Linked DNA regions of Oryzias latipes. The protein of the gene in region 1 purifies or fractionates together with the protein of each later gene. This does not show direct contact. Links are inferred from orthologs where the notes say so. Each region holds a gene or a part of one and is shown in the gene's direction. Other genes may lie near its edges. The genes, in order: polr2h, polr1e, rpap2, polr3h, mediator of RNA polymerase II transcription subunit 26, polr3e and polr3d.

The links.
Region 2: the proteins of polr2h (region 1) and polr1e purify together in Homo sapiens (affinity purification with mass spectrometry; 3 studies listed by BioGRID and IntAct, with this or other methods). This does not show direct contact. The link is inferred for Oryzias latipes from reciprocal best matches to the Homo sapiens genes POLR2H and POLR1E.
Region 3: the proteins of polr2h (region 1) and rpap2 purify together in Homo sapiens (affinity purification with mass spectrometry; 3 studies listed by BioGRID and IntAct, with this or other methods). This does not show direct contact. The link is inferred for Oryzias latipes from reciprocal best matches to the Homo sapiens genes POLR2H and RPAP2.
Region 4: the proteins of polr2h (region 1) and polr3h purify together in Homo sapiens (affinity purification with mass spectrometry; 5 studies listed by BioGRID and IntAct, with this or other methods). This does not show direct contact. The link is inferred for Oryzias latipes from reciprocal best matches to the Homo sapiens genes POLR2H and POLR3H.
Region 5: the proteins of polr2h (region 1) and mediator of RNA polymerase II transcription subunit 26 purify together in Homo sapiens (affinity purification with mass spectrometry; 3 studies listed by BioGRID and IntAct, with this or other methods). This does not show direct contact. The link is inferred for Oryzias latipes from reciprocal best matches to the Homo sapiens genes POLR2H and MED26.
Region 6: the proteins of polr2h (region 1) and polr3e purify together in Homo sapiens (affinity purification with mass spectrometry; 3 studies listed by BioGRID and IntAct, with this or other methods). This does not show direct contact. The link is inferred for Oryzias latipes from reciprocal best matches to the Homo sapiens genes POLR2H and POLR3E.
Region 7: the proteins of polr2h (region 1) and polr3d purify together in Homo sapiens (affinity purification with mass spectrometry; 4 studies listed by BioGRID and IntAct, with this or other methods). This does not show direct contact. The link is inferred for Oryzias latipes from reciprocal best matches to the Homo sapiens genes POLR2H and POLR3D.

The regions. Positions count from the first base shown.
Region 1 is NC_019862.2:11,777,309-11,781,312, forward strand, and holds the start of polr2h (DNA-directed RNA polymerases I, II, and III subunit RPABC3), read left to right. Parts: upstream 1-1,204; 5' UTR 1,205-1,355; intron 1,356-1,502; exon of another isoform or gene 1,503-1,693; intron 1,694-2,397; 5' UTR 2,398-2,418; coding exon 2,419-2,491; intron 2,492-2,869; coding exon 2,870-2,953; intron 2,954-3,222; coding exon 3,223-3,316; intron 3,317-3,418; coding exon 3,419-3,502; intron 3,503-3,655; coding exon 3,656-3,773; 3' UTR 3,774-4,004. Other genes in the region: lisH domain-containing protein ARMC9, read right to left, coding at 1-125, 265-339. UniProt on the Homo sapiens protein: DNA-dependent RNA polymerase catalyzes the transcription of DNA into RNA using the four ribonucleoside triphosphates as substrates.
Region 2 is NC_019859.2:12,631,185-12,635,287, reverse strand, and holds the start of polr1e (DNA-directed RNA polymerase I subunit RPA49), read left to right. Parts: upstream 1-1,303; 5' UTR 1,304-1,318; coding exon 1,319-1,348; intron 1,349-1,558; coding exon 1,559-1,637; intron 1,638-1,838; coding exon 1,839-1,942; intron 1,943-2,225; coding exon 2,226-2,302; intron 2,303-2,393; coding exon 2,394-2,479; intron 2,480-2,561; coding exon 2,562-2,617; intron 2,618-2,691; coding exon 2,692-2,836; intron 2,837-2,959; coding exon 2,960-3,070; intron 3,071-3,185; coding exon 3,186-3,282; intron 3,283-3,365; coding exon 3,366-3,496; intron 3,497-3,630; coding exon 3,631-3,712; intron 3,713-3,795; coding exon 3,796-3,927; intron 3,928-4,103. UniProt on the Homo sapiens protein: Component of RNA polymerase I (Pol I), a DNA-dependent RNA polymerase which synthesizes ribosomal RNA precursors using the four ribonucleoside triphosphates as substrates.
Region 3 is NC_019875.2:5,934,870-5,939,029, forward strand, and holds the start of rpap2 (putative RNA polymerase II subunit B1 CTD phosphatase RPAP2), read left to right. Parts: upstream 1-1,360; 5' UTR 1,361-2,071; coding exon 2,072-2,120; intron 2,121-2,224; coding exon 2,225-2,273; intron 2,274-2,354; coding exon 2,355-2,457; intron 2,458-2,896; coding exon 2,897-2,995; intron 2,996-3,078; coding exon 3,079-3,144; intron 3,145-3,231; coding exon 3,232-3,320; intron 3,321-3,397; coding exon 3,398-3,433; intron 3,434-3,506; coding exon 3,507-4,160. Other genes in the region: glmn (glomulin), read right to left, coding at 451-489.
Region 4 is NC_019866.2:19,484,386-19,488,055, forward strand, and holds the end of polr3h (DNA-directed RNA polymerase III subunit RPC8), read left to right. Parts: intron 1-740; coding exon 741-837; intron 838-1,020; coding exon 1,021-1,107; intron 1,108-1,206; coding exon 1,207-1,270; intron 1,271-1,403; coding exon 1,404-1,638; intron 1,639-2,452; coding exon 2,453-2,503; 3' UTR 2,504-3,170; downstream 3,171-3,670.
Region 5 is NC_019875.2:6,560,887-6,563,049, forward strand, and holds part of mediator of RNA polymerase II transcription subunit 26, read left to right. Parts: intron 1-455; coding exon 456-530; intron 531-614; coding exon 615-2,163. UniProt on the Homo sapiens protein: Component of the Mediator complex, a coactivator involved in the regulated transcription of nearly all RNA polymerase II-dependent genes.
Region 6 is NC_019877.2:13,135,777-13,139,276, reverse strand, and holds part of polr3e (DNA-directed RNA polymerase III subunit RPC5), read left to right. Parts: intron 1-13; coding exon 14-95; intron 96-201; coding exon 202-261; intron 262-400; coding exon 401-558; intron 559-641; coding exon 642-703; intron 704-785; coding exon 786-1,237; intron 1,238-2,953; coding exon 2,954-3,031; intron 3,032-3,243; coding exon 3,244-3,366; intron 3,367-3,447; coding exon 3,448-3,500. UniProt on the Homo sapiens protein: DNA-dependent RNA polymerase catalyzes the transcription of DNA into RNA using the four ribonucleoside triphosphates as substrates.
Region 7 is NC_019867.2:17,411,597-17,415,606, reverse strand, and holds the start of polr3d (DNA-directed RNA polymerase III subunit RPC4), read left to right. Parts: upstream 1-1,210; 5' UTR 1,211-1,330; intron 1,331-3,257; 5' UTR 3,258-3,289; coding exon 3,290-3,454; intron 3,455-3,647; coding exon 3,648-3,691; intron 3,692-3,798; coding exon 3,799-3,953; intron 3,954-4,010. UniProt on the Homo sapiens protein: DNA-dependent RNA polymerase catalyzes the transcription of DNA into RNA using the four ribonucleoside triphosphates as substrates.

The DNA.
Region 1 (4,004 bases):
TGAATGACACGAGTCTTTGAGTCTCTGAGAGCGTTTCCTCGAGGCTTGGAGACAAGTTTGCCTTTGCTTTTACATTCTTTGTCAAAAATTTGAACCGTTTCTTCAAATTCCCCAAACTTCAGGTACTAAAGAGAACAAACACAAAGTGTGTTAATTATACAATCACCATCGTGGAATACATTGAAATGTTAGATCAACTATCAGAATAAACAGATTATGGATTTTAATTGCAGTTTTTTTCTTCACATCCCTATCATGCTTTACCTCTTTAATCATCCCAAGGAGATCGGCTTCAGTTGCCAAGATGTCTCCCATCTTGGCTGTCTTAGTTGAACTCATCCGTGGACCACAGCTGTCAAAATACCGGCCGTCATTTGGGGCTCAGTTTGAAATTCCTTTGCACTTACAAAAAACAGGTAACAGTCTGAACAGACAGAATAGCACAGACAGGCAAAAAGAAAAAGAAAAAAATACTTCAATAATTTCACGTTTTAATGTAAAGATGACCAGTCTTGCTTATTCGAACAAGAGCAAATAATTACAACCTGTATTAACTTGTACGGTTTCAGTTTTCTTTCCGAATTATTATTTGTTTGTTCCAACCGAGGTTACTGTAGTTGTATTCAATTCAATTACATTGTATTTATAGCCCAATATTTACAGCAATAGTCATCTCAATGGGCTTCATTCCGGTAATTGTGTAATAAACATGAATCATAAAGAACATAAAGTCATAGAATTCAATAGCTGATTGCTAAACTAAACAGAAGAAACTAAGTGGACATCCCTGCCCTAAAACTAAGACCATCCTAATGTTACTACTATGATCAAAAAAAAATTATTTTCATCTTTGTATGCATTTTATAGCGGAAAACACGTTAACTATAACGGCAGAGATTTGAAGAGCTGCAAACTGCAGGAAGCTAGTCAATAATTGTTTCAGTCAGGTTTGTTCACATGATGAGCGTTCCTTACCTCGTTTGACCATCTTTTCTTGGTAAGAATCCGCATTAGAAGTTTCATTAAATATTTTATTTATGCTTAAAATGTATATTGGTAATTATTTTTTCGATATAATGACGCTTATGGTAAAAACAACAGCCTTAACATTAGCTAGCAACCGTCCACACAGAGGACGCTAAACGCACCTAGCAACAAGATGACGACAGACGGAAGTTAGTAAAAACTGTCGTAAAATTAGTTCAGTTGTTGGTTACTTAAATTATCAGTTAAATAATTGAGAGAAAACAAATACTTTTATAAAAATCTTTTTTTTATTTGCTACGTAAAATTTAGCCAAAATATTATTCGTTTTTTCCCCATCTTTGACCTATTGTGAGCCTTCAAATAAAACGGTAGGCAAATTTAATTGGTGTTATTTTAGTGATCATTTTTTCTACATTACACCATCGCAACGCATTTTTCCCTTTCTAAAAAATGTATAACATTCAGTAAAGCAAAACATGCGTCTTTCTTTTAAAAGAAAAAAAGAGACAAAAAAACGGAAGTTCTTGTTATGTCAAAGGTCGAACACGCTGGTTCTGCGCGGTACCGACTATTTCGCTTAATAATGAATGAAAATCTATCTAAATCAAATATCTGACGTCTAGGTTACATTATTATCGTTTTTACACGAATTCACCACATTCCAGGGCATACTATTTACACAAAAATACAAGAACAGCACTTGGGGGTAAGTATTATATTTTGTGTGGACAACATGATGCTACAGTTAGCGCGTAAGTGAACATTGTTAAAGTTGTCCAAAGTTGTGACAAGTTTTGTTCACCCACTTTGACACGGTGGGAGAGCTTTGTGATTTCCATTTGTTTTGACCTATTCCTTTTTCTTTTTAACTTGTTTTTAATTAATTATAGTCAAGATCGGGACCAGAACGCTTAGGAGTGACCAGGTTAGACAGGATAAGGAACGAGTACATCAGAGGGACGGCCCATGTTGCCTGTGTTAGCGACAAAGTCAGAGAAGCCAGAATGAGATGGTTTGGACATGTTCAGAGGAGGGATAGTGGATATATTGGTAGAACTAGAAGGATGTTGGAGATGGAGCTGCCTGGCAGGAGGCCAAGAGGACGGTCAAAGAGGAGATATATGGATGTCTTAACAGAGGACATGAAGTTGGCTAATGTTAGGGTAGAAGATGTTCATGATAGAGTGAGGTGGAAAAGGATGATTCGCTGTGGCGACCCCTGATGGGAAAAGCCGAAAGAGAAAGAAAGAAGAAAGAAGAGTCATAGGAATTTCACACTGAAACTGTGAAAAACACAATATAGCACTCACTGCTATAGTGTGTTTTTCTTGATTGACTTGGCTACGTAAAATGCTTTGCTGTGTGACTAACCTTCCCTTTTAATTTTGTTTTATGATGAATCTGTTTTAGGTTTAACAGAAAGGGATAAAGATGGCTGGGATTTTGTTTGAAGATATTTTTGATGTGAAAGACATTGATCCAGATGGCAAGAAATTTGACAGAGGTATGTGGACTGTCACTGTAAAAACACAAAAACGATCTTCACCAGTAGATAGTTTCAGTTGTAAAAGTCATAATTACAATTGTATATTGCATTTTTGTTCATATTGTGTTAAGTGTGACTAAAAAATTGTGTTGTCAGTAATTACAGCTTTTATTTTATTATTTTATTACAGCTAAACATTACAGTCATCACATTACTGAGTTGGGAAACCTTCAATCCTGCTTTTTAGTAGCTTTAAAACTAACACAATAACAAACATAATCATTATATGCATTTGCTTGAAAAAGATGGATATCTAAAAGCGCGTTAGTCAGTTTCATAATGTTTTCAGTTCTCTTTAATATAAACTAATACAGGTTATTATTACTTATACTGCAGTGTCTCGTCTGCATTGTGAAAGTGAATCTTTCAAGATGGACCTGATCTTGGATGTAAATACTCAGATTTATCCTGTTGATCTTGGTAAGAAATTAACAATGTCCTTTATTGTTTATGTCTTGTTTGATCTTAGACATTTGGCCTTTGTGGAGGAATTTTTAAATTGATTATTGGTAGTATTTAGTGAAACTGTCATTCTTCACTCTTGTAAGGTGTTGGTGCAGAATTGATAAGTTATTTTAACTCAGTTTTGACTCAATGTAAAACTATTGTATTAGAAGTGTAGCTTGATCTTAGGTGATTATGTACATTGCTATGATAAATCCAGATTTTTTTTTGCATGTTTCAAAAAGGGGACAAGTTCAGACTGGTGATTGCCAGTACATTATATGAAGATGGAACGCCAGATGATGGAGAGTACAATCCCCAGGATGATCGACCATCTAGGCAAGGCATTTAAAGAAGATAAATGAACATCCATGTCTTTCAATCTGTGGCAGATAATGTGTGATGCTTTTGATTCATCTTCCATTTTTAAATTGTTTCTAGGGCAGCTCAGTTTGACTATGTAATGTATGGAAAGGTCTACAAGATAGAAGGCGATGAGACCTCAACAGAAGCAGCCACGCGTCTGTAAGTTCTACACAAATGCATGTAGATCATTACAATCCTTTATTTAAGTTAAAAGTCAAGTGCTGTCAATTTAGTGATTAGTAAAAATTTAAATAAACTGTATGTATGTGTAAATGTTGATCAAGTCCTCTAATGATGTGCTTGTTCTTTCAGCTCAGCCTATGTGTCTTATGGAGGCCTTCTCATGAGGCTGCAGGGAGATGCCAACAATCTACACGGCTTTGAGGTAGACTCCAGAGTCTATCTCCTCATGAAGAAGCTGGCCTTTTAACCCCCCTCCTCTGTTTTCTACCGCCTTCATCCACCTTTGTAAAACTGGGATCTAGAAAAGTGGAACATATGAACATCTTAGAGACAAAACACCATGTTTTTGTAAACCTCTGTTGTATTTTTTATAGTTCCTCCAACAAACTACACTGAGGTCTGTGATTTCCACTTGGTGGTACACTGTAAATAAATATTTCTTTCTTTTATACAAAACAATTACAAGTGTTGATTAACT
Region 2 (4,103 bases), on another chromosome or scaffold:
GAAGGACGTGGACATCAATGATTTCACAGGGGGCTGCCCAACAGATCTACCACCTTGACTGTTTCCCAGCTCTCCCTGCTCCCTGGATCATCAGGTGTGTTTAGCCACTCAGAATGTGAAGTTACTCAGAATGTGAAGTTAAGTTAATCAACAAGACAACAAGTCTTAGAAACATTCTGGCTTTTTGGGCTGACTTCAATATGTCATTATCAGTGCAAAACACACACATTTGACTTCCTTTTGACTATTTAACATAGACATAACTAAGGAAAGAATTTGAAGGTCAGTAGATTGGGGGTTTAAATCCAAGACTACACAGTCAAAAGTGTCCTTGGGCGAAACACTTAACCTCACGTTGCCTTGGATTGTAATAAACTAGTGAGTCACTTTGGTTAAAAGCGTTTCCAAAGACTCAACATATAACACACACAAAAGAAGGAAATTTAAGTAAGCTAGCTAATTTTTTTTTCAGAATAATTGATTTAATTTTATAGAATTCTGTGGCCTAAAATAGAATTCAATATCTTACTATGCGATAACCGTGTTGTAACATTTATTACATTCAAAAACTTTGGGTAATTAGTCGTTTTAAATTCCCCAAACTTTATATTTTTTTATCGCAACTTGATGATAGAGAATTCGGTTACTGCAAAACAGACCTTAAAGAATAGCTTGCAAGTTTAAACTGGACAATCATGTGGGTTATAAACAATAAATAACATATACTAGATTTTAAAAATGTCAAATAGCACAAATTACCTTTAAGTCTTCCAAAAAGTGTGTCCCCGAAGGAAAAAAATTGAGAAAATATTCAGGGAAAAAAAGTGAAGAGGCTAGTAGTGAGTCTCGTTAGCAGCCGCGCGGCTAGCCAACTCCTTCTAGCTATATAGCAGCACCAGCGGGTGCATTAGGTCTCCCCAAAAGATCGTCTCCGCCGACACCCTTTCCCCCACAAAATGTCCCCTCAAGTGCAGCTACCTATGGCTAACCCTTCCATTGCGGTGTTCATAACATCTCCTCTAAGCCACTTCCTCGTAGTTCTCCAATACAGTCTGAACGGCGTAGTAGTTCAACTGTCGAGAAGAAGGGAGTTGCGATGGTCGTTAGCTTTAGGATGACCGATGAGCAGGATACAACTTCAGAACAATATCATAATACCGATGATCTGGTGTGTTTCCGGCGCTTACCAAGCAGCACGTTTTGCTTAATCTATACGAACATTTATTCAGACGGCTTTTTTTCCCCATCCAGACTCACAGGGTGGCGCTGCTGCACCTTGATTGAAATGACCTCGTTGAGGTAAAGCGCAGCAGTTTGAATGATTCACCACAGGGTGTCGCTGTCGTTCGTAAGTGTCTAGGATGAAAACTATTGAGCGAAATGGTTTTAAATATCTACTTTATTAAGACAGGTGTTGTGAATAATATTTACGTGTATTTAGAAAAAAAATGTTTTTAGACAGCTTTAAGAAAAGACAAAAATTCGTCATTGACCAAATTCACTGAGCGTTACGTTTTACGTAAATACAGATGAGTGAGTCCTCTCGCTCCTTTCACAGATCACAACAACAATCATGGCCGCCTCGTGCAGGATGGTGTGCTGCGAGGAGGAAAGGGAGTCTGACAAAGCGATCATAGGTAATTATTCTCATCTCAGCCTTTTTGAAACAATAATCTCTAAAGCAGGCGAGCATACAGTCAGTATTTGAGTTATCTGTGTTGCATTCAAGTGTATAAAACTATTCCATTTTTCAGGAGTAATCAGAACACGTGAAAGTTACAAGGCAATATTCTCACACATAATCAACATTAACACGCCATTCTCTGTATTTTTTGCAGTCCGATTTTCGAATGGTTTCACCAGCAATGCAGAGGAACTGGATTTTGCCACATTCAAGAACATAGAAGAAAATAATCCGAGGAAAAAGATAAGGCGGATCGTGGTGAGAAATTGCGCATGCGTGCTCGCACACACCATAGTTTGCATGGAATTGATATATTTCAAGCAATCAATATAACATCACACTGAAGAAGAAATACAAATCCACTCATATGTTTATCAAACTTAAGATGGTTTGTCATTTTTTGATTGTAAAATAAAAAATGTTATAAGAGATGCATATCCATATATTTACAACCACACACACGTACATTATACCATAATAATTAAACAAAAATGACAGATTCGCATTCATTAAATATGTAACAGTTGTCTGTTCCATTTAGGTTGCTGAATCAGACAGGTTGTCTTATGTCGGGCAGAATTTTGGAGAAGATTTAATGAAATGCAATAATCTTTGCAGGTTTGTTATCATTACATTTTATATACATTAACATTTGATATAGACCTTTCGTATCCTTATCGAATGAGTTTTGTGATGCAATTATTTTCAGATATTATGTTGGAGTTTTGAATAAAGAAACCATGCAGATGGAGATACACAGCGCTCAGCTATTCAACATGCAACCTGTCATACCAGGTAAAAGAAATGCAATCCCCAAAACAATAACAAGCGATTTTTAAAGGAGGGCAATTTAGTAATGCCAGTTAATTTCCACCAGGAGAGGCAACACATGATGCAAAGCCTCAGGACACCACTCTGTCCTACAGGGAAAAGGTATGAGAAAAACAAGCTTTCTTTTGAAACAAACAAGCACACAGTGAAGTCATGTTTTTTTTTTCTTTCTCAAGGTTGACTCCTTGATTGAGGCCTTTGGCACGAATAAACAGAAACGAGCTCTGAGCTCTCGCAGGCTCAACCAGGTGGGCAGTGATGCTCTGCATCATGCAGTGGCTGAAGCTGCCAGCACTGTGATTGATAACAAGGGTCTGGAAGGTAAGCGTGAAGCTTTCAGCCTTTTGGAGTAATCTAGACAAGAAAATATAACTCAAATTCATACTGGACTTGCCATCATTTTTTTTTTACTACATGTTTTTTTCCCCCTTTTTTTCTTGTTAGCTCTGCAACAGGAAGTAGCTGAAACAGAGTCTCAAGGAGCCCTGTCGTTACACCTACCTCCCTGCAATGCAGATGCAGACAAAAAAGAAGATGTCTACCCCTTTGAAGAGCGTATCTTTTTAACATTACCCCCCCACCCCCAATTTGAACAGATATTGGAAATTACATGCATATGTAGTTCGAGCAAAAGCAGCACTTTTCTCCATCCTTAATTTGACTTCAACAGTACTGAGTCCAGTAGAATTTGCTGCTTTGGAGCCGAACGGTCAAAAGATGACGGCACTAAGCCAAGAGGAGCTGCAGAAGTTGAAAGACCAAAGAGGGTATGGTAGCAGAGAGCATTTTTGTCTTATTAGCCTTATTTACTTATTATTGAATTGAAATATTTCTCTATTTCTTACCAAAGGAATCTGTGTGTGATGAAGCACCTGGAGAACATGCCATCCGCAAGTGAACCTAGAGAGAAAACTGCTCGCTGCGCTTTTTACCTGTCTCTCCTCATCAAACTTGCCCATCAGAAGATTGTCACTCGCAAATGTGAGCAGAATTTTGGAATCTCAGTTATTGAAGTAGTAGATTCTAAATATCGCTGATCAACACGTTAAAATGCCCTGCCCCTAAAGTTTTGTAATGTATGATGCTTTTTCTATTCCACCCGTTTTTGTTTGCAGTTTGGACTGAGGAAGGTTGTCCTCGTGTCATTCAAAGTAAAATTCTCCGAACATTTACAGTGGAGACATACAATAATGGCAGGTGTGTATGCGACAGTACCCCCTCTTTTGTTAAGGTTTAAAAAAAAAAAAAGCTGACAAATGTGTTTTGTGTTCTCCTTTTAGGGTCCAGAACATTGTGTCGACATCAATGCGGGCCAAAATAGCAGCTCACAGTCTGGCTCTGTTGCTGCATTTGGGTGACATGACTGTTAACCTCTCACTGCTTCACCGTGACCTGGAAATCAATGAGGCCAGGTACAAAAACCCCAAATTCTCTCCCTTTAAAACATCTTAGTTATTTTACCAACTGATTTTCCAACCCGAACATAAGACGACTCTCTCTGAGGCACCACCTTTCTCTCTGTGTGGGTTTCGCACATTTTATGACAACCTAGGGTCGGACTTGGCAGCATGTCCCAACATTTGCAAAG
Region 3 (4,160 bases), on another chromosome or scaffold:
TCATGTCAGGACACGGACTCCGTATCATGTAAAACATGAATGCTGCTGATGTTGTCTTACAGTTGCATAACATCCAGCAGGTTTCTTCTGTGTGTCTCACAGAAAGAGGCTGAACAAAAATCTAAAAATGTGTCCAAAAAGTTCCAGTGTTATGACGGATCTGGACTTGACTCTTGGAGATGAGATTCCTTCACTCCAAACGTGTCCTCAAATGATGAAAGGTACAGAACACAAGAATATGGCCCATGTGAGACGATCGATCCGAATTCTCAGGAACTCTTTCCTAAACGGTCACACAGGTTTGCTCATATTAAATCTGCAGCTGCTCCTTTCCTCCAGAAGATGCTGACACAGAAAGGACACAGGCTTTAACTTTGAACCTTCTGTCCTGGCTGCTCATGGGATATTTCAAGAAAACAAAACCATAAAATAAAGAAAGTGGACACTCACACACAGCTGGACCACATTGCTGAATCGCTCCAGAGCCATCAGTCCCGTTTGGACAGAGTCTGTCCTTCCTGGAAGTCCTTCAAAAACAACAGTTCAGATCAGAGTGTCCTGATGATGATGATGATGATGATGATGTTTTTCTATGTCTGTACTGATGACTTACTGTCACCATCTGTGCTGGAAGCAAAGTAGAAACCATGGAGATCATACAGAGAAGTGTGTCTAGATCAGGGGAGGGCAAACCTTTTGACCGGGGGGGCCACAAAGAGGTCAACGATGTGACAGCGAGAACCAGGAGCAGATGGGAGGAGTCATTTCATCATCCAAGAAATAACAAGGAATTTGGATGAAAACATGCTTGAACTTTGAAAAAGGAATATGCATATTTGAAAACAGAACGTTTGAGTTTTTTTTTTTGTTTTTTTTTATTTTGGTGCCATTTCCACATATGATGTCCCTCAGCGAAAAAACACAAACTCAGAGAAACGCTGCGTTCATGTGGTGCTGGAATGTTCGGAAAAATGCCTTCCTGACTTGGAAAATGCACAAATCCTCCAGCACCACACCAATGCAGAATAACTTTCCACACCTAAAAGTGCAGAATCTATAGGGAGACACCAGAACTACAGGGAAATGAAAACAATCCTGAGGGTTATCAATATCACTTATTCCAGTTTGGAGGGTCAGATTTAATAGTTCAGTAGTTTGCTGACTCCTGGTCTAGACTGTAGGCTCCATAGATCATCGATGTTGCAGGTCTTTCAGTTATGAAGTTCTAGTTTTATACCAGCAGTAAACATTCATCTACTTCCATTACATTAAGAATGTACCAATTCTGCTGACCAAACTGTGCTTTCTCTGATTTGACTGTTTAAAGTTTAAAACGTTTGAATCATTCTGCAGTTCAAAATTTTAACATTTACAAAGAACACGTTTTTTGTGAGATATTACTTATTCAGACAAGAAGAGAGAGATTCGCTTCGTGAAACTGTAGTCTAGAGGTGTCATGTTACAACATAAACCTACAAACATGTCACGTCTGTTAAGGAAATTAAACAAACGTTTGCCTTTGAAGGACGTAACGACGTGAGCAAAACCATGAAGTTCCTCTGCAGAGTGCAGCCTGCACACAGAAACAGCCTGAAAACGTCCATCCTCTATAAACTCAATTACCCAAAACTCTGTGCGGTGGGACATCAGGGTTTAACTAATGAGGAGGGCTGTTGGATTGGCATTCCTACAAAGAATAGCTCCTCCAATGAGAGAGAGAAGACAGCCAGCTGAGAGAACAGAACGGCGACCATGACTGCAGCTGATGTTTGAGTTCAGAACCGGCGCGGCACCGCCTCGGTCCACACACTACAGAACCGGGGCGGCACCGCCTCGGCCCTCACAGAAGCAGGCCGGCATTGGTTAGCTCGTTCTCGGACTGCTGTCTCGGGTTTTCGTGAACAAACGTTCGCATTAAACTCCTCTTGGAAGCAGAAAACGAACAGACGCGCGGAAAGTGAGAACCTACCTTCTCTCCTGCTGTTGCACGCGACCTGAACGCTGCGTGTTTGAACCACCCCGGCTGCCGTAGAAAAACTGCGTCACAGGTCAAAGTTGAACTGGAAGTGTCATGGCGACGGAGGGGAAGATGAAGAATCCCGGGAAAACGTCCAGAAAAGGTTTGGTTTGAGTAGTTTGGACGGACGTGTTTGGTATTTTATTAGCAGATGAACTGAACTGGGCTCCGTCTATGTCCTGGTGAAATCTCGTGTTTGTGTGACAGCAGGGAGACGCAGCAAAACTCTGACCGCCGAAGAAGAAGCCAGAAGAAGGTTTGGAAGGCTTTCTTCTCAGGTTTATGATCCAGTGTAGGCAGCGCAGTTTGAATGAATCCGTCTCCTTCCCTGAGCCAGGAAGGATGCGCTGAGGGAGCAGCTGGAGCTGGAGAGGAGAGCCCTGGAGGTGGTGGAGCAGCTCCTGGAGAGCAGCGTGGCAGAAGACTTCCTCCTGGAGTCGGTATGAACATCTCCATCTTTAGATAACACCTTCACTTTGATCTGGGTTGCGAGGGAAACCAGCTGAAAAGGCCACGCCCACAAACATTACCAGGTTTCCAGACCACAAACCATCAAACACTGCAAACTACAGCAGAAAGACACAAAACAACTTAAAGATGTAACAGACAGATAGTTGTTAAATTCAACTTAATCCTTTTAGGTTTTTTTTTTTGTATAATTCTTGAAAATTCTGTCTAATGATACATTTATTAAAGATCTTTATAAGGAAATAATTGTTTCAAGTAATTGATAAAATGCACAGAAAGAAAATGAATTTTGCACAAGCTAATGGGGAAAACTTTGAGGTAGAAATTTACAAGAAAACACTAATAAAGAGGTCAACCTGTTGTCAGTCAGGTTAAGAAGGGTTTTAACACACAGGCTCATTTTCTGTTCAGGCCAAGTTCATCACTCCAGCTAATTACAGAGATGCTGTGGAGGAGCGGTCCATCTTAAAGCTGTGTGGTTATCCAACATGTCCAAAGCAGCTGGGCAAAGTAAGACGTCGCCCCTCCACTGAGGGTAATGCTGACGCTCCTGTCTGGGTTTCCTCGTCTAACCGCTGCTGCCTGCTTTGCAGATCCCGTCTCAGCAGTTCAAAATCTCTACCAAGACGAACAGAGTTTATGACATCACAGAGCGCAAGGTGAGTTTCTTCCCAGAAGAAGAACGAACTTTGTCAGTGCAGTCGCAGTTTGAAGACAGAAGAGGTGACCTCATTTGTCATCTTTAGCGTTTCTGCAGTAATTTCTGCTACAAGGCCTCCAAAGAGTTTGAGCTGCAGATCCCAAAGACGCCTCTGTGGCTCAGGAAGTTGGAGAGGTCTGTGAACTGCTCCGCCTTTGTAAGACTCGACGTTCGGGTGGAGTGTCTTTGTAAAAATTCTCTCTTGCCAACAGTCCCCCGAAGATCAGGCTGCTGACGGCAGGACAGAGGTGTGTGCTCGGCGCCCGCGGCCGCACGTCCCTCTGCAGGAGTGAGCGTAACGTGTTGCATGTGTGTGTCCAGTGGGAGCTCCGGAGAGGAGGTGCTGCTGTCAGATCAGCGCCTCAAAGAGGAAGACGTTGAGAAACCACAAGCTGCCGCCCCCGCTGAGCCATGCGGGGATCATCAAAGCTCGGCTGGAGATGAGAGCAGCGGTGGGGAGCAGGACTTTGTCTCCAGTGTGGCCTTCCAGCAGCAGAAACCCCGGGTTCACTGGGCTGACCGCACGGGTGAAAGCAAGAACGGGAGCCAAGGAGAGGAGGGGACGGACGGGACTGAATGTCTGAGTCGCCTTCCACAGGAGGACACGAGGGGGCCGCATCCTGAACCCCCACAGCTGCTCGGTCCCATCACAAGCAAGGCTGAGCCACAGGACTCACCTGAGCGCCCCCAACTGGAAGAGGTAACAGCTCAGATGAGGGAGTGCACTCTTCATGAGACAGCAGCAGCCCCCCTGCCGGGCCTCCACATCACCCAGGTGGGCATGAGCAGGCGAGGAGCTGCAGGGCTGCGGGCTCTGCTGGGGAGGCAGAGCTGCACGGGAGCCAAACGGGAGCCAGCGAGCCTCCTGGAGACCCTGAGGAGGACTCTGAAAGCCTGGTGCACCGATCACACCATCAGGTTCCTGCACGGAGCCGCCTGCTCACCTGCCCCCCGTCATCATAACAGAAAGGAAGA
Region 4 (3,670 bases), on another chromosome or scaffold:
TTGACTCAGTTAAATCTTTCAAGTTTTCTATCAAATTTAAAGTAAAGGGTTTTTACAGGGGAAAGGGGAGGAGTCTAAACCTACTTGGTCTTGACGAAATAGCATCTTTCCAAAGATGAAACAAACCGCATATGGAAACTATAGGAACTTTTTCACACCTGCCCATGTAGGATTGACATTATGATTTTAATAATACACCTTTAGTTGAAAACTTCATGTTGGGTTAACTTGTGTTTTCTGTCTCATATTTTACTAGTTTGTTGATCTAACACATTTTATTTAGTCAAATGGCCCAAAACGAAATCAGAATAAGCAAACACCTAATCATGATACTATGTAACTGCTCTATTATGGCAGATTGATATCCAATTTATTTGTAGCCTACACAAGAAATTGCAAGTTATTGTCATCGTGATATCAGCCTGTGCAATATGTGCACTGAAGACAGTGTAAATTATGATGAGTGGTTATCTTAAATGTAAATAGATCCCTTAATGCATTTGACCAATTGGATGGACCCCTTTAATCTTAGATTCCCGCCTCCTTTGTAGACAAGGGTCATTTGCTGTATAATTGAAGTTATTTTGATTTTTATTGAAATAAATCTGATGCAGTGAAATGGAAATTATGTAGTAGTTTTCTGTTTTGCTTTATGTTCATTCGTCAAAAGTCATATTGTCATTGCAATATTGATGACAAATATCACACATTTATTCTATAATGCTTCTTTTTTGTCTTAGGTGGTTTTCAACGTGGGTCTCTGCATTTGTCTGTATGACATTACTAAACTGGAGGACTCCTATATTTTCCCAGGCGATGGCGCTTCACACACCAAAGGTATGACAGCAACAGTATTACTGTGACAGTCTCTGAATACCTTCAGTTAATCATATTGACGTCAGTCAAACCAGCTCACAGTCCTTCAATCTTTCAGTATTTTCTTTTAACACATAGATTTAAAAAAACACACATTAAAGATCTAAATCCTATTTCTGCTGACATTCTCACCTTTGTTGTCAGTTCATTTCAGGTTTGTTGTTTTTCACCCGTTCCTTGAGGAGATCCTTGTTGGGAAAATCAAGTACTGCAGTCAGGAGGGAGTTCATGGTAAGTATCATGTTTTCTTTAACACAGCTGACACAGATGTGTTCACACACATGTGGAAATATTGTTTGCTTGTCTAACTATGGTCTCTCTGCTTTACAGTGACGATGGGCTTCTTTGATGACATCCTCATTCCACCAGAGTCTCTGCAGCAGCCTGCAAAGTTGTATCCAACCTTACAATTACTGACTCTGCTTTATTAGACTGTGTTTGCTGCGTAAATATGATGCATTTGAGGAATCCTATTGATACTAAGTGTTATACAGTTTAAGGTGAACTTTCCTAATCTGAAACTCCAGTGATGAGGCTGAGCAGGTTTGGCTCTGGGAGTATGAGACCGATGAAGGGGCTCATGACCTCTACATGGACCAAGGGGAGGAGATCCGGTTTCGGGTAACAGACGAGGTCTTTGTGGACACGTCTCCAACAGGTCCAGCTGCTGCTACGCCTGATAATGCAGCACAGCCGGGACAGTCCACAGCAGCACCTGCAGAGGAGAGCACAGAGAAGAAAGAAGCGCCGTACACACTGATAGTAAGAGTTCATAATGCCATAAAAAAGCGTTTTTGCAAATACACCTATCGTCAAAACTTTTTAGCTCCTTTGCCATTACATATGTTTGTACCTTAGTGACACTCCATTCATAATCTAGAGGAATTATTATGATGCCATCAGATCCTCTGCAACAGTAGGAGCTTCAGCTCTTTTTTTGGAAGACTTTCCACAGTTTTAGGAAGGTTTATTGAAGTTTTTGACTGTTCAGCTGTAGCATTTGTGAAGTTTGAGACTGATGTTTGCCTGGCTGTCAGTCTTCACTCTGTTGCATCTCAAAGTATTCTGAAATATGCAAAATATAAAAAGTGCACATCTTAATCCAACACCAGGAGCTGTTCTTTGTTTTTTTTCCCTAAACAGGCTCAGGGTATTTCTGTACTTTTAAGAGGGATAGATAGTTTTATAATAAATGGAAAGTGGGATCTTTTTATTTTTTTAAACAGTCATGTGAGTCCTAAAAGGTGACAGTCTGCTATTTGGGTAGTTGGGGTTCTCTTCTTGGACGAGACCCTTAACCCCACAATGGTCTCAATTATAAGAAGCCTATAATCTTTAATAGAAAAAAAGCTAAATATTTAAATGTAAATGTTTGATTGTGTAAATGCAATAAAGCAGTTACATACATTTACAGTCTTAAAATGCTTTCTGGGATCAAAACCTTAATAATGCATATCAAAAACTAAGTGCAAAATCATGTAAAAAACAAAATTTGTCATAAGAATTTCATTTTTGTTCTTATTAGTGATAAATTTGTATTACATCTTTATTTTATATTTCTGTGTTTCTATTTCAGGGCACCATCTGTGAGCCAGGGCTGGGACTGCTGTCATGGTGGAACAATTAGCACTACAGAGGATGGTTTGTCCCTCATCACCCGAGACCTGCTGCTCAGTCAGCAGGAACAAAAAACCAGCATGAAGAACTCTATAGTTTTGTTACAGGAGTACAGATGAATTGAGATCGTCAGTGTGAAAGCAGCCGATACCAGTTTCATGTTTACATGTACAACTCACTGTGATGTGTTGAATGGCAATTTATGTTTGATACATTTCCTGTGAGAGTTTCTTAAAACTATGAGGAAATAGTTCATTATTTTTTGTTAAAGAGGATTTTATTCAAATGCCTCATCATTTAAGGTAAATAAGCAATGGTCTTCTGTGCTTTCTGAAAGTCCGTGTACATATTCTGAATTGAAAAACAAACTACTTGACTTTCTCTTGTGAGTTTATCAGTCGTATTTTTCTCTGCTATGGCGGGAGAACAGGTATTTCTGTAAGCAATTCTGCAAGATGTGTCACTTAAAAAGATGAGAAGGGTCTAATGTTCATCATATTTGAGAGGCAGAATGTTAAAAATATTCCAGGAAATCAGATCATTTGATTTTTAAAGAATTTATTTAGTTATTAGTGAAAAAATACAAATTTAGCTCCTACAATCAAGCAAGAATTCTGTTCTTCATAGACCTGTTATAAAGTCCCACTCCAATAAATGTTTGGATCTATTTTAATCTATTATAAAAGTGTGGCATTTTTTCATCTGCTCCTGATTCACCACAATTTGAATATAGAAATACTCAGTAAGGCACTTTTAATCTTAATTTTCTTTATGTCTATAATGAGAAAAATGTCACAAGAACATTTTCAAAACACCAAAAACACAATTTTGAATGGAGTGGATCTGTAAGTTCTAGCTTCCACTCGTTTCTTGCAATATTGGTTACTGTTTTAACTGGTTGTCAGTGTAAAAGACACCTGTCCACCCTTAAACAGTCAGACTCCAATGTCTCCACCAAGACCACAGAGCTGTCAAAGGACACCAGGGAGAAGATTGTTCACCAGAGACAAGACTAAGACGAACCAAATTACAATAAGGAAGGAGCTTGGAGAGAAGAGTTCAAGAGTTATACTGTATTTATCCCACAATGGGAAATTTGTTCTCCGCATTTGACCCATCCCCTGGGGGAGCAGTGAGCTGCAGCCGAACCGCACCCGGGAGGCAGTAGCCTGGATGA
Region 5 (2,163 bases), on another chromosome or scaffold:
CTCCAATGTAGAAAGGGAAGACTGTCTTCTGTTTGACAGGGATTCTTAGAGGGGTTCAGGTCGGAGCACAGACTGCAGAGTGGTGGATTAAGATGTCTCTTATGTGGGTCTCCATGGAGAGGCCGGATTGAAGGCAAGCCGGATCCTGCCCACGACCCTGATTTAGACAATTTGACTGAACTCACCTGGTTATCACAGGTGTCTGAGATGGATGTCAGTGATCCACACCATAATCCATGAGTTTGATTTGAAAAATTCATCTTTTTGACTCTTAAATACAAAACAATTGCATAATAATTTGGAACACACTGTATAAATGTGAGGTAATGAATCCCAAGAGAAGCATACCAATTTGTTATATCTGCATTTGGTGTCAATCTTTATTGAATGTTGTTCAACAGTGTGGATGCCAGCATTGTCTTTGAACTCATGAAACAACTGTCTGTTTTTTGCAGATTTGCAACATGGTGATTGTGTTGGAAGTAATTAACTGTCTGGAGAAATATCCTATCACCAAAGAAGCACTTGAGGTAAAGCGTGCATTCCTAAACAGATACTCCATACTGAAAGGAAAATACTGACTTTCTTCTCTGATTTTCTCACATATTTTACAGGAAACGCGACTTGGAAAACTGATCAATGATATTAGAAAGAAGACCAAGGATGAAGATCTTGCAAAGCGCGCAAAGAAACTGTTGAAAAACTGGCAAAAACTGATTGAACCTGGGCCAGTTGTGGCACCCAGTGTCACTGGGTCGACAAATGGCAGTTCTCATCTGTGCCGAACCGACCCCTCTCCTCCAGAGATTTCTGTGTTGGGGAAAGGATTTGCTGATGTTAGGATGAGAAATTATGTTCAGAACACGTATTCACCTAAAGCTGAAAAATCAAGCAAGCGCAAGGTAGAGCACAGCAGACTGCACTTAACAGAAAACCTCTCAAAGACGTCTACATATGATAATTCTGTCTCCCCACTACCCACCAATGGGATTGCTGGCAGCCCAAGAACCCAGTTTGAACAAGATGTCACAGTGTCTCCTGGTAAATGCCGAGTAGATCACCTTGATGACGACAGAGTGAACAGAACTTCAGTCAATTCTGTCAGGCCTTGTCCCAACTCCCCTGGGGTGGAAAAACTACCCAGCACTTCCTCTTTGGTTAAAGTTGCAGTAATCCAGCAACATGCCAGGCTGGAGGAAGAAGGAGGGAGCTACAATCAAGGCAAGAGTCCTCGCAGTGTCACTTCCAGTCCGCGGAGCCAGAAGCATGACTCCTTACCAAAGCGCTCCGTACCATATGGACTGAAAGGAACGCCAATCCCAAGTCCTTCTTCCAGAGACTCTCCCTTATCCTTTTCCCAGGCTTTGGCTTCTCCGGGTCAACCATCTTTTGCTGAGAAGCTGCCCCATTTATCTCATAAGCCTTTGTCACACACAACCAGTTTGTATGAACCCCAGGATGTATCTGGAACTCTGGATTCACCATCAGCCTCCCCTCTCCTCTGTCAACAGAATACAGAATCCCAGAGATCAAGATTGGAAGCGGGCTTTGTGGTGTCTGATGATACTGATAGAATGACAGCAGCCAACTCTGAGCATAAAAGGAGGAAGTACAAGTCCAGAGACTTCTCTATTAACCTGGATGGGCAGAAAGTGGAAGACACAACTAAGAGAGTACGGTTAAAAGAACGCAGACTAACGTTTGACCCAGTCACAGGTCAGATCAAACCTCTGGTGCATAAAGATCCTTCTCCAGTAGAGGTGTCCTCTACTCCTGATCCAGCAGAGTTTAGGCAGAGAACAGAAAGTTCTGTCCAGCAGTCGGCTGCCACAACAACAAGTCCTTGCCCTAACCCTTTCCTCCAGACTAACTGGAAAGAGCTGTCTAGAAACGAAATCATTCAGTCTTACTTGAACCTTCAGAGCAATTTGCTCACCTCTTCAGGGGTTCAGACCCCCAGTGCACACTTTTTTATGTCAGAATATCTCAAAAGGGAAGAACAGGAGACCAAAGAGTCCAAGAAAATGCACGTTTTGCAGACAGACAGCTCAAAGGGGGATTTACCAGGCATGAGTCGGCAGTTGACGGACAAGGACTTGGAGAGGATCCACACACAACAGTGGCCAGGAGTAAATGGTTGTTATGACACCAATGGCACCTGGT
Region 6 (3,500 bases), on another chromosome or scaffold:
GTTTTGTCCTCAGCGATGTTCTGTATCCAAAAAACACCTGCAGTGCTCACAGCGGCGTTCCGGCTGAAGTGCTCTGTCGCGGCAGAGACTTTGTGGTGAGCTGCTGACCCCGTTTGTGTTTTTCTGTTGGCATGAATACAAAGAAAAGTGAATGCTCTGGCTTTACATGATACATATAAAACTAATGTTTTATTCCTCAAGATTTGGAGGTTCACTCTGGAGCGTTCTGTGATGAGAAAGGAGATCGCATCCATCATCAAAGTAAGAACCAATGATGTCTTGATTTTAAATGTAACACATTTTTTGTGTGCTGTGCTGATTTGTTGCTTTTTTTCCTTCTTGAAATCTCCCTTTTGTCCAGTGGGGTAACCAGCTTCTCTTCTTCTTCTGCCCCCTTCAGCTTCCTCCGGAGGACGTGAAGGAGTTTCTGGAGCACGTGGCCGTTCCTCGGGTCAACCGCGGCTGGGAGTTCCTGCTGCCCACGGACGTGGACTTCATAAGGAAGCATCCAGACGTAGCACACCGACAGAACATGCTGTGGCTCGGAATCCAGAGCAAGTATGACGAACTCGAGCCACTGAAAAAAAAATTCCTTTTTTGCCTTTTTCTTCAAAAAAAAGTTACCAGTCGTTTCCTTAAAGGTTGGAAAAGGTGTTTAATGTCTGTAAAGAAGACTTTTTGCCCAAGAATTCCCCTCAGCCTGGTGAGGACAAGCTCTACATGGCGTTTTTAAAATGGTGATGATTTTGTCTTTACTTTTCTGACATCAGTGTGTTCTGCTCCAGAGCCCGTCCACATCAGCGGGGACCAGCGCCTGAAGATGGCTCAGGATCGGGCGAAAGCCAACCAGTCGTCCCTGCAGAAGGATCTGGATGCTAAGCATGCAGGAAACATCGTCCACATCAAGCAGGAGCAGAGTAGCGACAGAGAGGACGAGCCAATGGACACCTCCTCGTCTTCTGCCCCCAACGGCTCGATGAACGGTTACCCCGCCTCCTCCCCCTGCTTCGATCAGGTCAACGGGGGGAGCCCCGCGAGCGTGCCGCCTCCGCAACTGCTGGACTTTGTGAAAAAGACTTTCCGGAAGCATTTTGTATTGACCTTGAACGAGCTAAAGCGACTCTTTAACCTTCACCTGGCGTCTTTACCGTCTGGACAAAGTGTCTTCCACTCTGTCTCTGATCACCTGCTGCAAGACGCCATGCTGCTCTGCCAGTGCAAACAGATCCTGGTGCCTGTGAGTATTGAGGTTATACTTGATTAACTCCTTAAATATAAAATGATCTAGAATTTAAATAAACTTTTACTGTTTGTGCATAAAAAGTAATTATTGTTAAGATGCATCCTGATTCACAACAATTTGAAAAGAGAAATCCTCAAAAAATGCAATTTTTAGCTTAATTTTCTTTATTTCATGTCATCCATTTTGAGAAAAATGCTGTAAGAGCATGTTTGAAACACCAAAAACACTGCTGCAGGATGATTCAAAGAAGGAAAGCTTTTGTGTACGGAATGCAAAACAACAGGAAGCATAGAAACCACTGATCTTGTACTACAGAGACTACATCCGCCCATCAACATTTTAGAAGAACAGGACCTGAACCACTGATGCTGCTGAACAAAATCTGTTACTAAGTAAAACTCTTGTCACAATCGTAAAATAGTTTAAGTGGCATTTGCAGTAAGTCTGGATGTTGTTGCAGATGATTTGTATTTGTGTCTCAGGCTTCCTGCTGTTGGACCACAGTGCTGCTGAGCAGGCTGGTTGTCGGTTCAAGTCTTTTCTTGTGAAACAGATCTTCAGACTGATTAGAGGACTTGGTGGTTTGGCTCCTTTGTCATGTAAACCGACAAAGAGCTAATTTCAGTGTAAATGGCCTCTTTCCATTTTAGCTCTGATTTATTCTCATGTTTTAAAGCATTTATCATGTTCTGCTTGGATTAAGAACCGCTGCTCTGGATTCCCACAGCTGCTAAAAGCCCCCAAATGCTGGTATCAGTTTTCTTTTCTCACTAACGACTTTTAACAGTTGCTTTTAAAGAAGAAGCCTCACTCAGGTGATGTAAACCTCTCAGGGTCTATCAAGGCCATCTGACGCTGGTGTACGGTTCTAGTACTCTATTACTCTTTTGGGTCATGGCTCAGAGAGAACAAAGAACTCTGGTCTTATTTTCTCTACACTGTCTGTTTTGGAGGATTTTAAGACACTGGCCTAAAGCCGTCTCTGTTATGCAACAGGTGATTAGCCCCAAAGCAAAGCTCCTTACAGCTCTGAAGTAGCTTTACTGCAGGAGGTTGTCTTCTTCAACTCAACCAGATCAAGACCTCAGTTTATCATTTATTTATCGCTTAAAGCTCCACTCTGATCATCTTTTGATCCATTTTTTAAAGCGTTGCCATTGTAGGTTCTACATCACACCCAAAAGCTTTTTCAAACGGCATTTTTCTGTCTGCTCCTGATTCCCAACGATTTAAATAAAGAAATATTTAAAAAAAGCAATTTTAAGCTTAATTTTCTTAATATATGTCCTTTATGTTTAACAGGAACATGAGAAAACAACAACTCCATCTTAATCGAAGTGCGTCTTTAAAAGAACCACTTATGGATCCGTATTGAATTCTTGTCAGGAGAGAGAATCCAGTTCTCTTTACAGTCTAACTTCCTATCTGACCATAAAATAAAGTTAATGAGCTGTAATTGATGCAGAAATGCTTTTTTTTTTATCTATTGAAACACCATAAACCAGACTCTGACTACACAGTTCTCCTAGATTTGACAGTGGATGTCTGGACTAGTTGTTGATGAGCATCCTGAAAACTCTGCCTCAGGTACATCGAGTATAGTCCCATAACTATGACTCGACTCATTTGTCAGATTAGTAGGTTTTGTGTCTAGAAATGGAAATCATCAGAAATGAACCTTTTTTTTTGTCTGTTTCTTCAATGTTTTAGTTTCCTGCACAAAGCAAAGCAGCTCCTGATGAACAAAAAGTGTTTGGATTGTGGGAGAGTGGAGACAACTTTGACCAGGTAAGAGCACCTTCAATTCTTTGTGTATTTCTGCTTTAAATAAACTCTAGAAGAAATCCGATTGAACTCAAACACTTGTATGATTATAAGTTTCTGGCTGTAAATGCTCATCTAAAATCATTAAAGGGAATCTTTTATAGTTGACTTTTTAGCCGTTTCCTGAAGGATAACTCTGTGAAACCATTAAGGTCAAACATGTTTTCCCGCTGCAGCATCGTCGGCTGCTCTACGACCTCTTCACCAAAAACTTCCGGGTCAGGAGGGGCATGGTTCAAACCAAGCTGTCGCAGGAGCTCGGCGACACGTCGAAGGCCGATGTCGACAGAGTTCTTCAAGTAAGAGGGCGTGGCCGAGGCTGAGCATCCACCTCCAACCAGCTGTGCCTCATCATTCCAACCTGCTGTCTATCATTATAGGAGTGCTGCAGCAGCCACGCAGGCTGCTGGTACCTTAAAGGAACGGTACCATC
Region 7 (4,010 bases), on another chromosome or scaffold:
CTTTCCCTGTTTGATCAAATTGATTTATTTAACTGCATCTATTTATATTTTTCACATATTAAAAACAAATATTTTCTTTGCACTCTGAAGGCCTATTGGATGTTTCCTTTAACAGATTATTTGTATTATTACTATATCACACAGTAGGAACATTCATTACTTATATCACAAACTCTATTTTAATTCCTTAAAAATGTAAAGATGTGAGTTTCCATTTAGAGTTTATATTAGATTTAATCTGTTTAACTGCATGGAAATATTTAATCTTACTGTTTTATTTAACTGCATGCAGTTGTTTGCATAAGGTAGCAAATGGATAGTTCAGTTGGCTCTGTGTAGGACTGGATCATGGGAAACCAGGATCCGCTTCCCAGGGGCCACAATGAACTTGATGCAGTGTGGGCCCTTAGGCAAGACCCTTTGTTGTACTGCGTAACTATGCAGCCACAAGGGGGCCCAAGTCTAGGTTCCCCTGTGCCGGTCCCCAGCTAGGATAAAATACAGGGTTGTGTCAGGAAGATCATCTGGCGCAAAAATCTCTGCAAAGCTACCTGTGAGAATCAGGGAAAGCTGATTCGCTGTCGAGACCCCAGAAGGAATATGCTGAAAGGCGAGAAATATAAAAGCGTGAATGTTGCATAAGACTATTTTGCTGTAAGACAGAAAATAACCAAGGAAACAAGTGCCCAAACAAATGAAATATTTATTATTATTATTATTATTATTATTATTATTATTATTATTATTATTATTATTATTATTATTATTATTATTATTATTATTATTGTTAGTAGTAGTAGTAATATAATCAGTTCCCTTAGCATGTCAGAGGAAAATAACATCTTTAGAAAAAAAAAATTTCCAATCTCGAAATATGCCATATCTTTTGGTTCTTCACATCTGAGACATTTATTTCAAAACATTCAATAACATTAATCCATGCAAAAGATTTTTATGAATCTGACAAAACTTGCAGGAAAACTAATGCACGATATGTCAGAACTCAAAATATAATTTTCATTTAGCTGTTTTAGGAAACATTTGGAAAGACTAGTATAATCGTTTATCTAATCTTATCTTTTTTATGACAGTGAATTTTTTTGGACTGTGGATTCTGAAATAAAACATAAAAATAAAACAAAATAATGTTTCTAAGCATGCGCGTTTTTCTGCGCATGTTTGATCCTCGAGAGCAAGTTGAAGCCAAAGCGGAAGTGTCATGGCGCCGCTAGTGAATGCAGCGGTGGACGAGGCAACAGGATTTTGTTTCTGATATCTGGCAGGTTTTAGGGGGGAAAACTCCGAATAAGGACCACCGAGGACGTGTCGTGTAAGTTTTTGGAGAACTGCAATATGTTAAGACTTCCTCTGGACAGCTTTCGCGTTGTTTGTGATCTATCTTACTAGCCACGTGTTTCTGTAACATTTTTCTTCATTCATCGTATGTAAATACTGGTTGTGTATTTAAATCACTGACAAATATCATTGTAAACACAATTTATTCTCAATGCTTAGACTCGAAAGTTTAAGAAATCATTCCTAATTAATGTCTTGAATTGCTTACGTTCAGAACCACAACAGAGTAAAAAAGATAAAAAGAAAAAGGTTACAGAACGGACTGAAAGTATATTTTTGTTTATCCCGGTATTATTACAAATTACATTAATGTAAACCTCAATAACATTAATTTTAGGTATGGGGTCTAATGATTAATTAATAAAGTGACACATCAAAACAGATTTTGTGGCTGAAACAAGTTGATAATGGATTCAAATCGAACTGTACCATTATAAAATCCTTTCAAAATTATATTAAATTGATAATCGATCTTGGAAAGTACCATTCAGATACATGCTTGGTTTTTTAACTATAGCGTAAAAACGACGTGATGGTGATGTTAGCAAAGAAATGTCAAAGCATCATTCCATTGCAATGTGTGGAAAAACAATTAATTTAGAAAAGACATGTGACCATAATCACAATAGTGTTCAGAAAAACAGCAGAAATCATTGATCGATTTTCTGGTCTTGTTACAAACTAACCAACCTCCAGCTGGCACAGAAACATGCCCTCTTGACTGTGAAGGAATTGAGCGTCCCCGCACAACAAATCAAACATACCCTGTAAGACGCGCATGCTCAATGTGTTTGTTTAGGGAAATAACAGAATTCTTTTTTTTAATTGGACAATTGCAACATACAGAACAAGAGAATGCAACAATTATGCACATATAATGTACAGTAGAATAAACGTGTTACAACATTAAGAAAATTTTAATTATTAGAAGCAATCACAAAAGGCAATAACAAATAAAAATAAATAAATAAAATAAAACTAAACAAAGAAAAAAATAAAATAAAGTTAAAAAAAAATAATAATAAAAAGAGAAAATACGAGAGTAAACTTATATCAGTAGTCCAAAAAATTTACAAATTTCAATTGTTTTTTGAGCTTTTGTATTTTTTGAAGATGAAATTAAGTTTAAATATTGCTGCAGTTCAAGTGACAGAATTTGTGGACATGAAGGGAGGGACACGCAAATCCCCTTTTGTAGCGATGATAAGACACTAAAAATCTTTTCTTTATCTTTTTGCTAATTTTAGTGTCACGTGCTGTTGAGCATTGCTAATTTTCTTGCAAAGATGTATTACAAAAACAAGTGCGTTGATCTTATTTTGCGAGATAACAGCTGGTTCTTTTAAATTTTGGCATAGGGGCCAAAAAAACAAAACAAAAGAACTTCTAGCCTGTAGCTTTACTTTGAAATCCAATGATTGGCGACACACGAGGATGAGGGGCCATAAATAAACGTCACAGCTGAGATCACCTGGTCAGAACACAGTACTTTCTCAGGAAGTTGAGGCAGGCCCTCTTCTTTCAGGAACTGCTGGTCAGGTTTTATAAGGCCAACAATGAGGGTTCAGTTCTAGTGCCGCGCTGTCTGAAGGCACAACAGAGGACAGGAAGACCGTGCAGGAAGTAGTAAGAACAGAGGGGAGGGGGATAGGAAGTGCACTACCAGACTGATTGGGAAAGAGTTGTATTTGGAAAGATGCCACACACCCTGGACATTACGTAACTGTTTTAAAGGCACACGCCAACAGAATCCAGAGTAGTGTTTCACCTGGCAGTAAAATGTGTGCAACCTCCTCATAAAGACATTTGAAAACAATTTTTATGTAATATTTGTGTATTTTCCTTTTAAACATCACCATTGTCTGAGAGAGATGATGATGAGTATTATTGTTGGCCACCAGGTTGGGAGTTTGACATCCCTTTAAAGTTCAGGATGGCGGACTCCGGGGAGTCCAGCAGTCAACGCGTTCCCACTCCTGCAGGCGCCAGCAGCAGCAATGTAGGACTCCAGATGGGGCGTCGACCACCAGCTGGACTCTCTCCTGGACGCCTCCCTTCCATGCGGTCAAGGGACCTCACCCTGGGAGGAGTGAAGAAGGTTAGCATCATACCTCACTCGCCATTTAATCTTTGGGTTAGGAATTGTGTTAGATGAGTTAATCACACCAGATATATTAAGAAACCCTTCTGTAGCTTCTTTTGCCCTACTTGCAATCATGATTTTTTTTTTCTAGATTTCAAAAATAAACAGCTTTTCTTATTACTCATTTATCTTTTTTTTAATTTTATAGAAAACCTTCACACCCAACATCATTGGCCGAAAGGTTAAAGAGGAGTAAGTTGATTTTATTTCTAGGATTGAAAAATGCAGTGAAGAACAAATAAAATTCGTGTAAACTGAAGCTTTAACTGTTTTAAAAAAAAAATTTTTGGTTGCAACAGAGCCAAAGTTGAGACTGATCAAAGGAGAGATCGGAGAGGTGGAGAACGTGGTCGAGGGCCGAGAGACAGAGGCAGGGGCCGAGGTCGCCAAGAGATCATCCAGTCCCATTCTATCTTTGAGCAGGGGCCGGCCGAGATGATGATGAAAAGGAGAGGTGGGGGGCCAGCAGGACTAGCATATGCAGTTTGCTGCTGCAGCTGAACTGCCATTT